Arabidopsis thaliana: one gene and its partners. The protein of the gene in region 1 interacts with the protein of each later gene in a pairwise test. Each region holds a gene or a part of one and is shown on either strand. Other genes may lie near its edges.

Region 1 (4,795 bases):
TTGAAAACCTTTTTGTGAGAGTCTTTTACTGTCCTATGTTTAGTGAATATGACTACTTGTCTTTGGAAAGGTGGGAGGAAGATGTGATAGGATTAGTCGAAGAAAAACACGGGAAGAAGAAAGTATCGGTTTCGTTCGAGTGTGAGACATTGAAGGCAGATGAAGCAGCAGAGGACCATATCAGACAGTTTATGCCCAAATTAGCTGGACTTGATGCTGTTAGTAAGTAAAACCAACACTTTATTCTTGTGCCATTCTCATTACATTTATGTTGTCTTGTTTTGTTGAATCAACACACCGGGGTTTTTGCCAGTTAACATTGGACCGATGAAGATTTCCGGGCTTGATTTTGCTGCGGTGGAAGAGGGACACATAAACTAAGACAGCTTAACTCTTTCTTTTTGTGTATACATCATATTTGAATGCTCTTTGAGTCTTTGTTTCATATCGTAGAACACAATTAACGCTTTAAGCTCAAATGATCTAGACTAGAACTCATAGAAAACATAAAAGAGAAATAACCGAACCGAAACCAAACCGAAAAGCCGTACACCCACCCCTAATTTTGGGTGTCATCTTTTGCTTTCTTCTATGGAAATGGGTGGAACAAACAAACAAAAGAAAAAAAAACCCATACAATTTAGTCATTATATATAAGAAAAATCAATGCATTTAGTTACGCAATTCCTAAATAACATTGCATAAACTTTATATACATAAATCTTATTGAGACACTCAAACACTCACAAACAAATCCACAAATACTAATAAGTTTCTGCAAGAGCCCTTACAACACATACGTCCAGCTTCGTAGAGCAACAATGCAATCCAAAACTACATCCATATATAGATAAAGAAGACGGTAATTACGAAATTGTTATACTTACATGACCGATCTTGGGTCTCAGTTGTTGAAGAAAAGTCGTCAAATTAGGAATGGGAAGTTTCTGAACGCATCCTTAGAAAGTTCATGTGACAATCTCTCGAACAAGCCAGTCGAGACAAGGATAAGCGAAGTAGAGGATGAGAAACGACGGTAGAGCCAGCAAGAGAGTGACTAGAATGTACATCGCCAATATGGCTGCACTGGTCGGTATTGCATAGAGTATTATCAGCAGAAATATGACAACTAATGGGAACTTTGCTGTCAACTGGACAAAGAAAACCAGAGACTTCCTCAGTGAAGTTTGTATGTTGTCCCTTGGAATGCGATGATCATTAACAGAACGTGATGGTTCAGGTTGACTGCGATGATGGCGATTGTGGAGACATGGAGATGGAGTTTCCCTTGTATGATCATTGTTTCCATCTGTTTGAGCTCCACCAGGTGAGTTACGTCTCTCTCCATTCATCCTCTCGACCATCCAAAGCACAAAGTAGTTCTTGTGAGGGAATCTGAGTGTTCCTCTGAAGACCAGACGGAAAGACAAAAGGTTGCACCAGGGGCATGAAATGAAGAGAGGAAGCTGAACCGGGTGAGTAGGCAATTTCACAATAGCCCATTGAAGTCCCAAAATGCAGTTTTTACACATCGTATGTCCACACCATAACACATACGGAACGTTTTCAACTATATTAAATGATTCCCAGCATATAGGACACTCGAGACCTTCGTCTTTACTACCTACAGAAGATACATCGTCATCTGAACACTCCGCATGAGCATGGACCGGTCTTCTGATATCGTTTTTCGGTCCAATGTTTCCCGTAAGATAACTCGATGCTAGATTCCACATTCTAGTATCAGGGATGGATAACATGAATACCTTGTTTGTCACTAAGACCTAACCAGTTCTGCTAATACTTAACTCTCTGACCTTCATGAACACCGAACTCGATGCTTCATCGCTTCATAAGCAAAGAGAAAACACATATTAATCCTTCAAAGACAATCCCAACGACACACCGATGCAATTCCAACTAAGAATCAACTAATAAGATTAAGTGCTACATTGAGCAACCATGGTAACACAAATCATTAAGAACCTACTATACAGCAAGATTCAATTTTTATGATCAGAATCGATATTCGAACGCTTTAACTTGTATTAGAGCTCAAAGCTCGACAATTTCATCGATAAAGGGGACTCTTTTATCTTTGAGCCAAGTTTACTCACCGATGCAATTCTAACTAAGAATCAACTAAGATTAAGTGCTACATTGAGCAACCATGGCAACACAAATGATTAAGCAACTACTATATAGCAAGATTCAATTTTTATGATCAGAATCGATTATTCGAACGCTTTAACTTGTATTAGAGCTCAAAGCTCGATCATTTCAGCGATAAAGGGGACTCTTTTATCTTTGAGCTAAATTTACTCACAGATGCAATTCTATATCAGTAGCAACCAACTAATAAGACCAAGATTTAGTGATACATTAAGCAACCATAGCAACACAAATGATTAAGAAAACCCTAAATAGAAAGTTTCAATTTTTATACTCAGAATCGAAATCAGACTCTCAGACTTGTATTAGACCTAAAGCTCAATCATTTTCAGCAATAAAGATGATTCCTTTATCTCAAAGGTTATGACTTTATCCGATACAGAAGATCCCAATATAAGATTAAAGGAAGAAAGAGAAAACCCTAAAATCAAAATCACTAAATGAGATAATTGATCACAGAATTAAGCAGCTAACGAAGTAATCGAACCTAGATAGATAATTGAAAGGACAGAGCAATCAAATGGTTCACAATAACCGAAACTAAATCAGAGTGATTTAGATAAAGATTCGTACCGATTCGACTCTGCTCTGAGCTTTTTGTTTCGTACGTGAAAGAAGAAGATGCTTGATTCGATTTTTCCGGCGAGACCTAAACTTTCTGGGTTTTGTTTTGCTTTCATAAACGACGTCGTTTCAATCGTGTACCCAAGTTTTCCTTCCAAAAGTGTTTTTGATATTTTCTAACGTAAAAACTTGGTTAGTTGTTTTTTTATAAACATAATAACATTACCAACCAAAACATTTACGCTTATTGAAGATTAAGTAAACCTCTGAAAAAATAAAACACAGAGCGGTTAATTTTATTAATATAATTTAATAGAATTTTGTATTATAAGTTATTTATCAATTCAATTTTTTTAATATTTTAAAAAGAATAATAATAAATATATTAAAAAGAAGAAATATGAGAAAAAGAACAATCACGAAAGAAAAATAATAATAAAAGAAACTTTACGTTGTTTTTTTTTTATCTATATGAGTGTATATAGATAAAATGCAAATGGACTTAATATGTAAATATTTCTTTAATTTTTGCAACATTCTTCTCGTCCAGAGTTCATTTGTCATTTATCTCTTTGCGATATCTTTCATGTTGTCTCGTTAAAACTTTTCTAATAAAATCCATTGGTAGAAACCACAGTAAGGTAAAAAAGTATAATCATACAAGCTCTCCCTCGAATGACTATGGACATGGGGTGCAGGATGTTCGACATTTTTTCTTGTTACCATGTAATAATCATTGAATGCTTGAGACGTAAATTCACCAACGTTATCTAATCTAACTCCTTTGATTGGATAATCAGGAAACTCAGCTCTTAGTTTTGATTATCTGAGTTAGAAATCTCGCAAATACCACATTTCAAGATGATAACAAACAAACATGTGACCATCTACTAGACATGTCTATCATTACCATGAAATAATATAATGGTATACATGGTGGGTGTATAGGTTCACAAATGTCGCATTTGACTCGTTCAAGGAATTTTGGTAATTCTTTATCGATTTTGCTTGTCGATGGCCTTATAATCAATTTTCCAAGAGAAAACGTAACACATGTCCTTTTATTTTCTTGATAAAACTCTTAGGGTTTCATTGAATGTCCATGTGAGCTTTTTATAATTTTTTGCATCATCGTGGTGCCTGGGTGACCAAGGCGATCGTGCCACAATGTGAAATCATCATGATCTCTTTTGATAACAAGATGTGATCCTATTGAATTAATGTATGTATGATGCAATCCTGATGGGAGTCTTGGTAATTTTTCCAAAACGTGTCTTTTTCCCAATTTTTCAGAAGTGATATACATGTACTTTTTTTCATTCTCACTTGCACACTGAGTGTCATATCCATGAAGGTATATATCTTTGAAACTCAACAAATTTCTTTTTGAATTTGGTAAAAATAATGCATTATTTATCGAGAACTTTGTCCCGTTAAGTAATGCAAAATTTGTTTTACCGGTCCATTCAATTAAGTCTATGGGACCTGATATTGTGTTAACAATAACTTTTGTTGATTTCAAATGAGAGAATTTTTTTTTTTGTTTTAGAATAGTGTGTGTTGTTCCACTATTCGGTATGCAAATATCTCTAAGGTTTGCCTTGGATACCATTCCATTTGTAATGTGATCCATTTCTGAAATAAACATAATCGATTAAGGTAAGTAGAAAATAAATTTATTAATCAAGCATATAACACCCGATAATTATACATGATAGGTAACACAAGCACACAATAATTACACATGATAGGTAATACAAACACACAAACTTAGGAAATTTCAAGCAAGCGTCGATTTATTTATGACATATTAATTCGAGCCCCACACGATAGAAATTTCAGTTTTCCACAAGGACAACCTCATCGAGATCATTAGCAAAGTCAGAAGCATCAAGGTGGGTTGTACCCTCAGAATGTTCCGCAAGGTTCACTTCCTTTCCTTTTCCCTTAACAGATTTTTTGTACAGAGCACAAAGGTGTGCTGGAGTTCGGCATACCTGATACCGATGTGCCTTAGGGTCACATCTGAAACAAGCACTGTCACATTTTTGAAAAGTAT
Region 2 (4,287 bases), on another chromosome or scaffold:
ATAAATGTAAACAACCCGAGTACTACATGACCAAAGGGCAAATGCAAATTACTTATTCTCTTAAAGTCAAGCTCAAGCTGAAGTCTTGCACTTTCTTGGCCCATCCATATTGCTACAACTCTTTTTTGGATGATAGTCATGTAGACTCTTTCACATTTCTTGGCCCATTAGATTCTTTCATGACTATCATCCATATTACAAGTTGCTGCATCAAACATGTGAAATATGTTATCATTCATGTGAAAGATGTTACTAAATCTGGTTCTTTTATTATTTTACTGGAACCCTACCATGTGGAACAGAACATGCATTTTCATGACTATCAACCAAAACCAAAACCAAAACCAAAACCCCGAACTGAACATCATCCAAGAATATCTATAACTGAAACTGTGATTCAAAAGTTGAAAATTCAGTTATAAGCATGTTATAAAAAGTGGAAAATGAAAGACTCTTATAGAAGAAAGAAGATGAAGAAATACTTGCGATGATGGTGTTAGACCAGTTCAGTTCGGCTTAGATGTTGTTCTATCAAATTCTACACATTTTACAATTATGTTGCTAATGTTTGGTATTGGAAACACTTATTGACAATGTTAGCAACTTAGCATACCTATGTCCAGTTCAGTTATGTCTCTGTGATATTCAAACAAGATTCTGAGCTTACACATGTACACAATGTATTCTTCCATTGACATAATTAATGTTACAAGATACAATGCCATTGATACATAATAGATTACACATTTACACTGTTACAAGATCAAAGCTCTAGTGGTACATATAGAGATCATCACACATGACATAGGAAACAAGAAGAAAGCATATAGAATTAAAGATTGATATATTCTTAGCTTGATGATGATCAGAGAATATGTAGGAAACTTTATGTCTTGGACTTGAAAGGAATAGCTCTGATGACTATCTGATGGTACAGAGCAGCAAGCGCAGCACCAATGAATGGACCGACCCAGAAGATCCACTGCAGACACATAAAACAAAAGAGACAACAGATAAGAGCAGAATTATCAAAAATTCTGAGTTGCTATTTAGATGCAATTCATAACTTATCATACTTAGCACAACCGTTGATGTAATTAAAGAGGAAAACTTACATGGTCATCCCAAGCATGATCCTTGTTGTAGATGATGGCAGCTCCGAGACTCCTGGCCGGGTTAATGCCAGTTCCAGTAATTGGGATGGTAGCCAAGTGCACCAAGAAGACAGCAAACCCAATTGGAAGCGGAGCCAAGATCTGCAAAATGTTCGATAACCAAAAAACACATGAGCTCTATGTGAAGAATATGAACTCAACACAACTCAAGGATACTAGAGAATTAGCAACATACAGGGACATGAGAGTCTCTGGCACTTCTCTTAGCATCAGTAGCTGAGAAAACAGTGTAAACCAGAACAAAAGTTCCAACAATCTCTGCACCAAGACCTGAACCCTTTGTGTAACCATGAGCCACCACATTAGCTCCACCGCCATTCGTCTGGTACAGCCCTGGTTGAAACCCTTTAACCACACCAGCACCACATATAGCTCCAAGGCACTGCATTACTATGTAGAACAGAGCTCTGGTTAAAGATAGCTTCCTCGCCAAGAACAAACCAAAAGTCACCGCCGGATTAATATGTCCTCCTGCTCATTACCAAACCAATTCGCCACACACAAGTCAAAATCAGATTATGATCTTCACACAGAAGAAACAAAGTGGGGCAAACTAACCAAAGTTTCAAACTTTAAGAAGAAAATTACTCAAAGTTTCAATCTTTAAATGTGAAATTACTTTTAAGTATCAAACTTTCTTCATTATATCCAAGTTTCTCACAACCAAGTAACCCTAATTCCAGATTCCTTCAACCTAAATTCGAAAACTTTAAACAAAATTCAGAGCAAGAACAGATCCTGAACCTGAGATTCCAGCAGTACAGTAAACAAGAGCAAAGATCATGCCACCAAAAGCCCAAGCGATGCCTTGGATTCCAACAGAGGCACACATATTGGGAGCTCTCTTAACACCCATGACTGTCAAAACGGTGACGTAGAGGAAAAGGAAAGTGGCTATGAACTCAGCTATCCCTGCTCTGTAGAAAGACCAAGATTTGAGCTCGCCGGGTTCGAAAAACGGCGCCGGTGGTGGTTCCTTATAGTCCTTGCTCTCCGTCTGAGCCGCCGTACCGATCGGCTGTCTCTCTGGGAACTTGTTGGCTCCAACATTGACGTCTTCTTCTTTGCCTTCCATGTTTCTCTCTCACTCTATCACCACCAACTTTAGTTTGTTGTCTCTGTAAATTTGATGACTGGTGTATGTGGAGGTTTTATAGTTTGGTTCATTTAGGCAAAAATAATTATTAATTAAATTTGCTACTAATTTCCAAAATCTTATATTTGTTATTCATGCAAATTTCTAAATTATCAGAAAATGTGTAAATAAATAAATATAGTTAATTACTAATTATAGAAAATAAATTAGTGAATTTAGACTAAATTAACTTAATCTGTCTAAAATTTTTGTGATAGATAATTTTAATTGCAATGGTTGATATAGAGTCGCACTCAAGTCTCTTTTGATTGATGATTTGCATTTTTTTTATTGTCAATCATAACTCGTGGTTTATAAACCTACATTTTCCATGTAAGACTTTTAATTCGTTTAATGTTTAATAACGGTTTTCTATCTAGTTAGTCTTTGAGCATAATACTTAAATTAAAAAATGTTGTTTTAAGATAAGAATTAGAGGTAGGTAGTTGAAATGGACTGGACAACTAGGCGCGAAAACGATGCATAGAAGAAGATGGACATAAGATTAAGCAACTACCATATAATTTGTTAAAACAGAATATATTACAGCTCAAATGATGTGGACAATTCTAACATAATGTTTCTATCAATTATGTGAATGATATTATAGAGGAAATTATTGGATGTCAAAAATATTATAGATGAAAGAAGACACTTCACATGGAAAATGTTCGCCTTATCGATCTCTACTGTTTATAGATCAATTCATGGTTTATTTAAGTTCCTTTGTGTCACTACTGTGTTTTTTTTTTATATTGGGCTTTGATCTAAAAACTTTTTTTGGGGTCAATTGATCCATAAACAAGCTTTTCCTTTTTCTTATGGAATATACTTTATACAAAAAAAAGTACATTAAAAAAAAGAGAAATCTTACTTTAGCATCTACATATGGGCAATAGAGATAGAGGGAGATACATTTGTCATTTACTGTGTATAGGTTCTTTGGTGGTTATAAATGATCTCAGATTTATGTGACACAATAAATATAGTTGTTCTGCTTCATTTTTTCTTTTGAAAAATATAGATTAAGATCCTTGATTCATCATGAGGTATTCCAATAAACTAATTATCTTGCTAACTTTATCAACAATAGCTCTCATTTTAGTTGGAGAGAGTCACAAAACAATACCTTCGAAAGAGGAGAAAGAAGAGATGAAGAAGCTACTTACCTATCTCAATAAACCTGCAGTCAAAAGTTTCCAAGTAAATTTAGCCTTTCTTTTCTTAAATTTTCATAAAACATTACAAAAATTGTTGACTATTGTAACAATATTACAACTATCATCAAGTTACATTTATTTTCAGACCACACCAATTTTTTCTTGCTTTTGATTTCGACAGACTGAACATGGTTATATATTTGACTGCATCGACATTCAAAAACAGCTAGCTTTTGATCATCCTTTGCTCAAGAACCATTCTATTAAGGTTTATCCTACAAACCACGAAAAAATATCTATAAATAAAATTCTTATTAATGTTTGGATGGATTGAAATATAAATGCAGTTGAAACCCACAACTATACCTAAATGGACCAAAGATAACAACGCTTCTCATAAAACTAGTTCTCTGCCATTTCGACAAGATGACATAAGTTGTCCAGTTGGGACAGTCATTGTCAAAAGAATTATACTTGAAGATCTTATACGAGCTCAACGTTTGCAATCCTTACGATTCAACTATCCAGGACAAGTGTCTGCAAAGGACAAGAAAATTGATTTAACTGGTCATCATGTAAGAATCATTTCTTATTACACGTAGTTGAATTGAGATCGCCTTGTAACTTGTCCACAATGCTTATAATATTTTTTGATTATCTATTCTTTTTCTCTTCGGATTTTAGTTTGCCACAATTAGTTACAAAGATGACCACTATGGAGCAAAAGGAAACATTAACGTATGGAATCCAAACGTCTCACCTGATCAATTTAGTCTTGCGGCTATGGCTGTATCAGGCAACAAAGGATTTCAAAGCA
Region 3 (3,003 bases), 7.0 Mb from region 1:
GAAAAGATACAGTCTCCTCTTCATTAATTTTTCATGCTGTTAACAGATTTAAGTTTATCCAAAATCCTTTTGTTCTTTTGATATCTAAATATCTCCCCACATCTGGTACTGCAGGACTAATAGTCTCAGTGGTGAAACCTCAGCCAGGCGAGAGGATAATGGATGCATGTGCTGCTCCTGGAGGAAAGACCCTATTCATGGCATCTTGCTTGAAAGGCCAAGGTAATATTACAAAGACCCCTTATTTTCCTCTATTGTACATTAATGTTGAATTAAATTATCTATTTTGAGAAACTTTTCTACTATACTTGACTGATTCCATCCTCAAACTGGCAAACTCGAATCGATTATAGGTATGATATATGCTATGGATGTGAATGAAGGACGGCTAAGAATTCTTGGTGAGACAGCAAAATCACACCAAGTTGATGGACTTATCACAACCATTCATTCTGATCTTCGTGTCTTTGCTGTAAGTTAACATTATTTGAGTATCTGAAGTTTCCAAGTTTGTAAGCTACTCACATGCTTCCTTCCAACTTAATGTGTTTTAGGAAACCAATGAAGTACAATATGACAAAGTTTTGCTTGATGCCCCGTGTTCTGGACTCGGCGTCCTCTCCAAGGTTAACATGAGAAAAGTTTATCTAACTGTTTCGCCAGCAAGATTTAACATTGCTAGTTGAATTGACCTGATCTGATTAACCTGTTCCCATTAATCTGTATTTTGTAGAGAGCGGATTTGCGCTGGAACCGTAAACTTGAGGACATGTTAGAGCTCACTAAACTGCAGGATGAGCTTCTTGATTCTGCCTCCAAGTATGCACTCTGTACATACATTTTGATGAGTCATTTGATTAATTCTGAAACACTAATATGCGACTTATCTGATACTTTTATCTGTGACACTCTTGATTGAATCTCAAAGACTGGTGAAGCACGGTGGGGTGTTGGTATACAGTACTTGCTCCATAGACCCCGAGGAAAATGAAGGAAGGGTCGAAGCATTTCTCTTAAGACATCCTGTAAGAATCTTTATAATCCATTTGCTTTCCTTCAGATGTTGATATTAACAAATAGTCTCTCTGCTTTCACAGGAATTCACCATAGATCCAGTAACCAGTTTTGTACCGTCGAGTTTTGTAACCTCACAAGGCTTCTTTTTATCAAACCCAGTGAAACACTCACTAGATGGAGCATTTGCAGCTCGTCTGGTTCGAGCCTTGTGACGTTAAAAGCAAGCTGTATTTGTCTCTGCTGAGAGTTTGGATGCAATTAGACGAAGAGGATAAATGAAAACACCTTCTCTTTTATTCGTAGAGTTGGGTTTTATGAGAGAAGTGTAAACTTGTAGAGATGCTGCTAATTGTATGTTGATATGTTTAAAGAAAATGCCTCGCCGTTTTGCCAGAGCTAGAAAGTAGAAACGGCGGCTCGTGTAAGTTCTAACAAAAGAGTAGTCGTCTGTTAGCAACCCAAATCGGGCTTTTAAAGGCCCATATTTTGGTCGGCCTGAATCCAAAGTTAAAAATTCAATCATGCAAAACGGACAACATTATAACTGAATTGAAAATATCTCTCTTATCATTATTTTAGCTTTGTACGATTTACTATTTATGTCAGAAAATGTTTCATTCTTTGACTTTTACGACAACTTTACAAAAAAAAAAATGTTCATACAAGTCACAGAACAAAGTAACATAAAAATCTTAAAAATATATTATCATTTTCGTTAGAAGAAAAACAGTATAATTTTCAAACGCGTTTAAAAACAAAATAACTTGAGATTTTGACGTTATCCTTGTCACAGAGAATCTTTCCTATTTCTTTACGTATAGACACTCAGAGGAAAGACAGAGAGAGAGTTAGCATTGTACTATCTCTCTTTTAGATATATCTCTATCTCTCTTCACTCCATCTTTCTCGTGTTAACACAACAGTCACAGACTCACAGATCTTTGTCGGTGATCGGAGATGGAGTTCCGGGAGAAGCTTTTGAAGTTCAAGTTGCAAATCGTGTTTGCCTTTGTTTTATCTCTCCTCACCGTAGCTCTCGTCGCTTATTCTCCCGGTTTCCTCACCGTTCTATCTTACTTCTGGCCACTTTTTCTCTCCACGGCTCTCTTTCTCGCTGCCGTTTTCTTCTTCGCACGCACCTCCGATCTCCCGGTTTCGTCTACCATCATCCCAGGCGAAGGCGCAGGCTTAAAAGTGGCGGCGGAAGGGATTCTTGACTATGTCGTCGGCGGACAACACGAAGACATTCTCTTTGATAGCTTCACCAAACTTGACTAAGTATGAGACCTCTCTGTTCTTAATTCCTTAAGTATTTCCGTTAATTAGTTGTTCCTTTTTTAATACTAGAGAAAATAAAATTACAAAATGTAATATTTTCACGAGGAATAAAATCTTGCTTAAGTTTATGCTTCTATATTACTTATTTTAATCTTATGTTTCTGTTTAGGCGCGAGGCTTCTTTTCTTTAGGTATCTCTCATTAGTTTATACGTTACAAGATTACACATTGCATTGATATATGATTTTACTTTCAAAAAAAATTTAAATGTTGAACGACCTTAAAATCCGTGCGCTTTACTTTTAAATCTTTCCGAATGAAACCCAACCACCGACGCGACAGCTTTTCATTTGTTTACTAATTAAACGGAACAAAGCAATTTAAATGTTATCAGTGTTGTGTTTTAGTTAGAAATACTATAAATAATACAAGATGCCTCTTTTGTTTTAGAACTTTTTTGGTATCATGAATTCGTTATCGGATAAAATACGTTAAAGCTAAGTAGTATATTCTTAGATTATATATAAATTAGGTGAGCAATCTATCATAGAGAAGAAATGATTAAAATAAGTGTATGGCATAATAGATTCGAACATTTTGGTATGTTCCTCACGTGTCCGAGCATAAAGCTTATGAACAAATCTCGACCACTAGAAGTCTAGAACTAATTCTAATCTAGTTTACCATACACATTAATTATTTCAAATT

What was found.
Region 2: the proteins of AT3G29270 (region 1) and PIP1;5 interact in a two-hybrid assay, tested with the Arabidopsis thaliana proteins (2 studies listed by BioGRID, with this or other methods).
Region 3: the proteins of AT3G29270 (region 1) and AT3G13175 interact in a two-hybrid assay, tested with the Arabidopsis thaliana proteins (2 studies listed by BioGRID, with this or other methods).

The regions. Positions count from the first base shown.
Region 1 is NC_003074.8:11,232,291-11,237,085, reverse strand, and holds AT3G29270 (RING/U-box superfamily protein), read right to left. Parts: upstream 2,914-4,795; 5' UTR 2,746-2,913; exon of another isoform or gene 1,849-2,745; 5' UTR 1,761-1,848; coding exon 969-1,760; 3' UTR 628-968; downstream 1-627. Other genes in the region: AT3G29280 (uncharacterized protein), read left to right, coding at 44-222, 314-381.
Region 2 is NC_003075.7:12,218,755-12,223,041, reverse strand, and holds PIP1;5 (plasma membrane intrinsic protein 1;5), read right to left. Parts: upstream 2,402-4,287; 5' UTR 2,251-2,401; coding exon 1,920-2,250; intron 1,647-1,919; coding exon 1,351-1,646; intron 1,257-1,350; coding exon 1,116-1,256; intron 983-1,115; coding exon 887-982; 3' UTR 574-886; downstream 1-573. Other genes in the region: AT4G23390 (NEP-interacting protein, putative (DUF239)), read left to right, coding at 3,355-3,513, 3,652-3,738, 3,818-4,045, 4,155-4,287. UniProt on the Arabidopsis thaliana protein: Aquaporins facilitate the transport of water and small neutral solutes across cell membranes.
Region 3 is NC_003074.8:4,234,552-4,237,554, reverse strand, and holds AT3G13175 (uncharacterized protein), read left to right. Parts: upstream 1-1,740; 5' UTR 1,741-1,974; coding exon 1,975-2,295; 3' UTR 2,296-2,480; downstream 2,481-3,003. Other genes in the region: AT3G13180 (NOL1/NOP2/sun family protein / antitermination NusB domain-containing protein), read left to right, coding at 115-222, 354-472, 555-626, 734-819, 929-1,025, 1,098-1,229.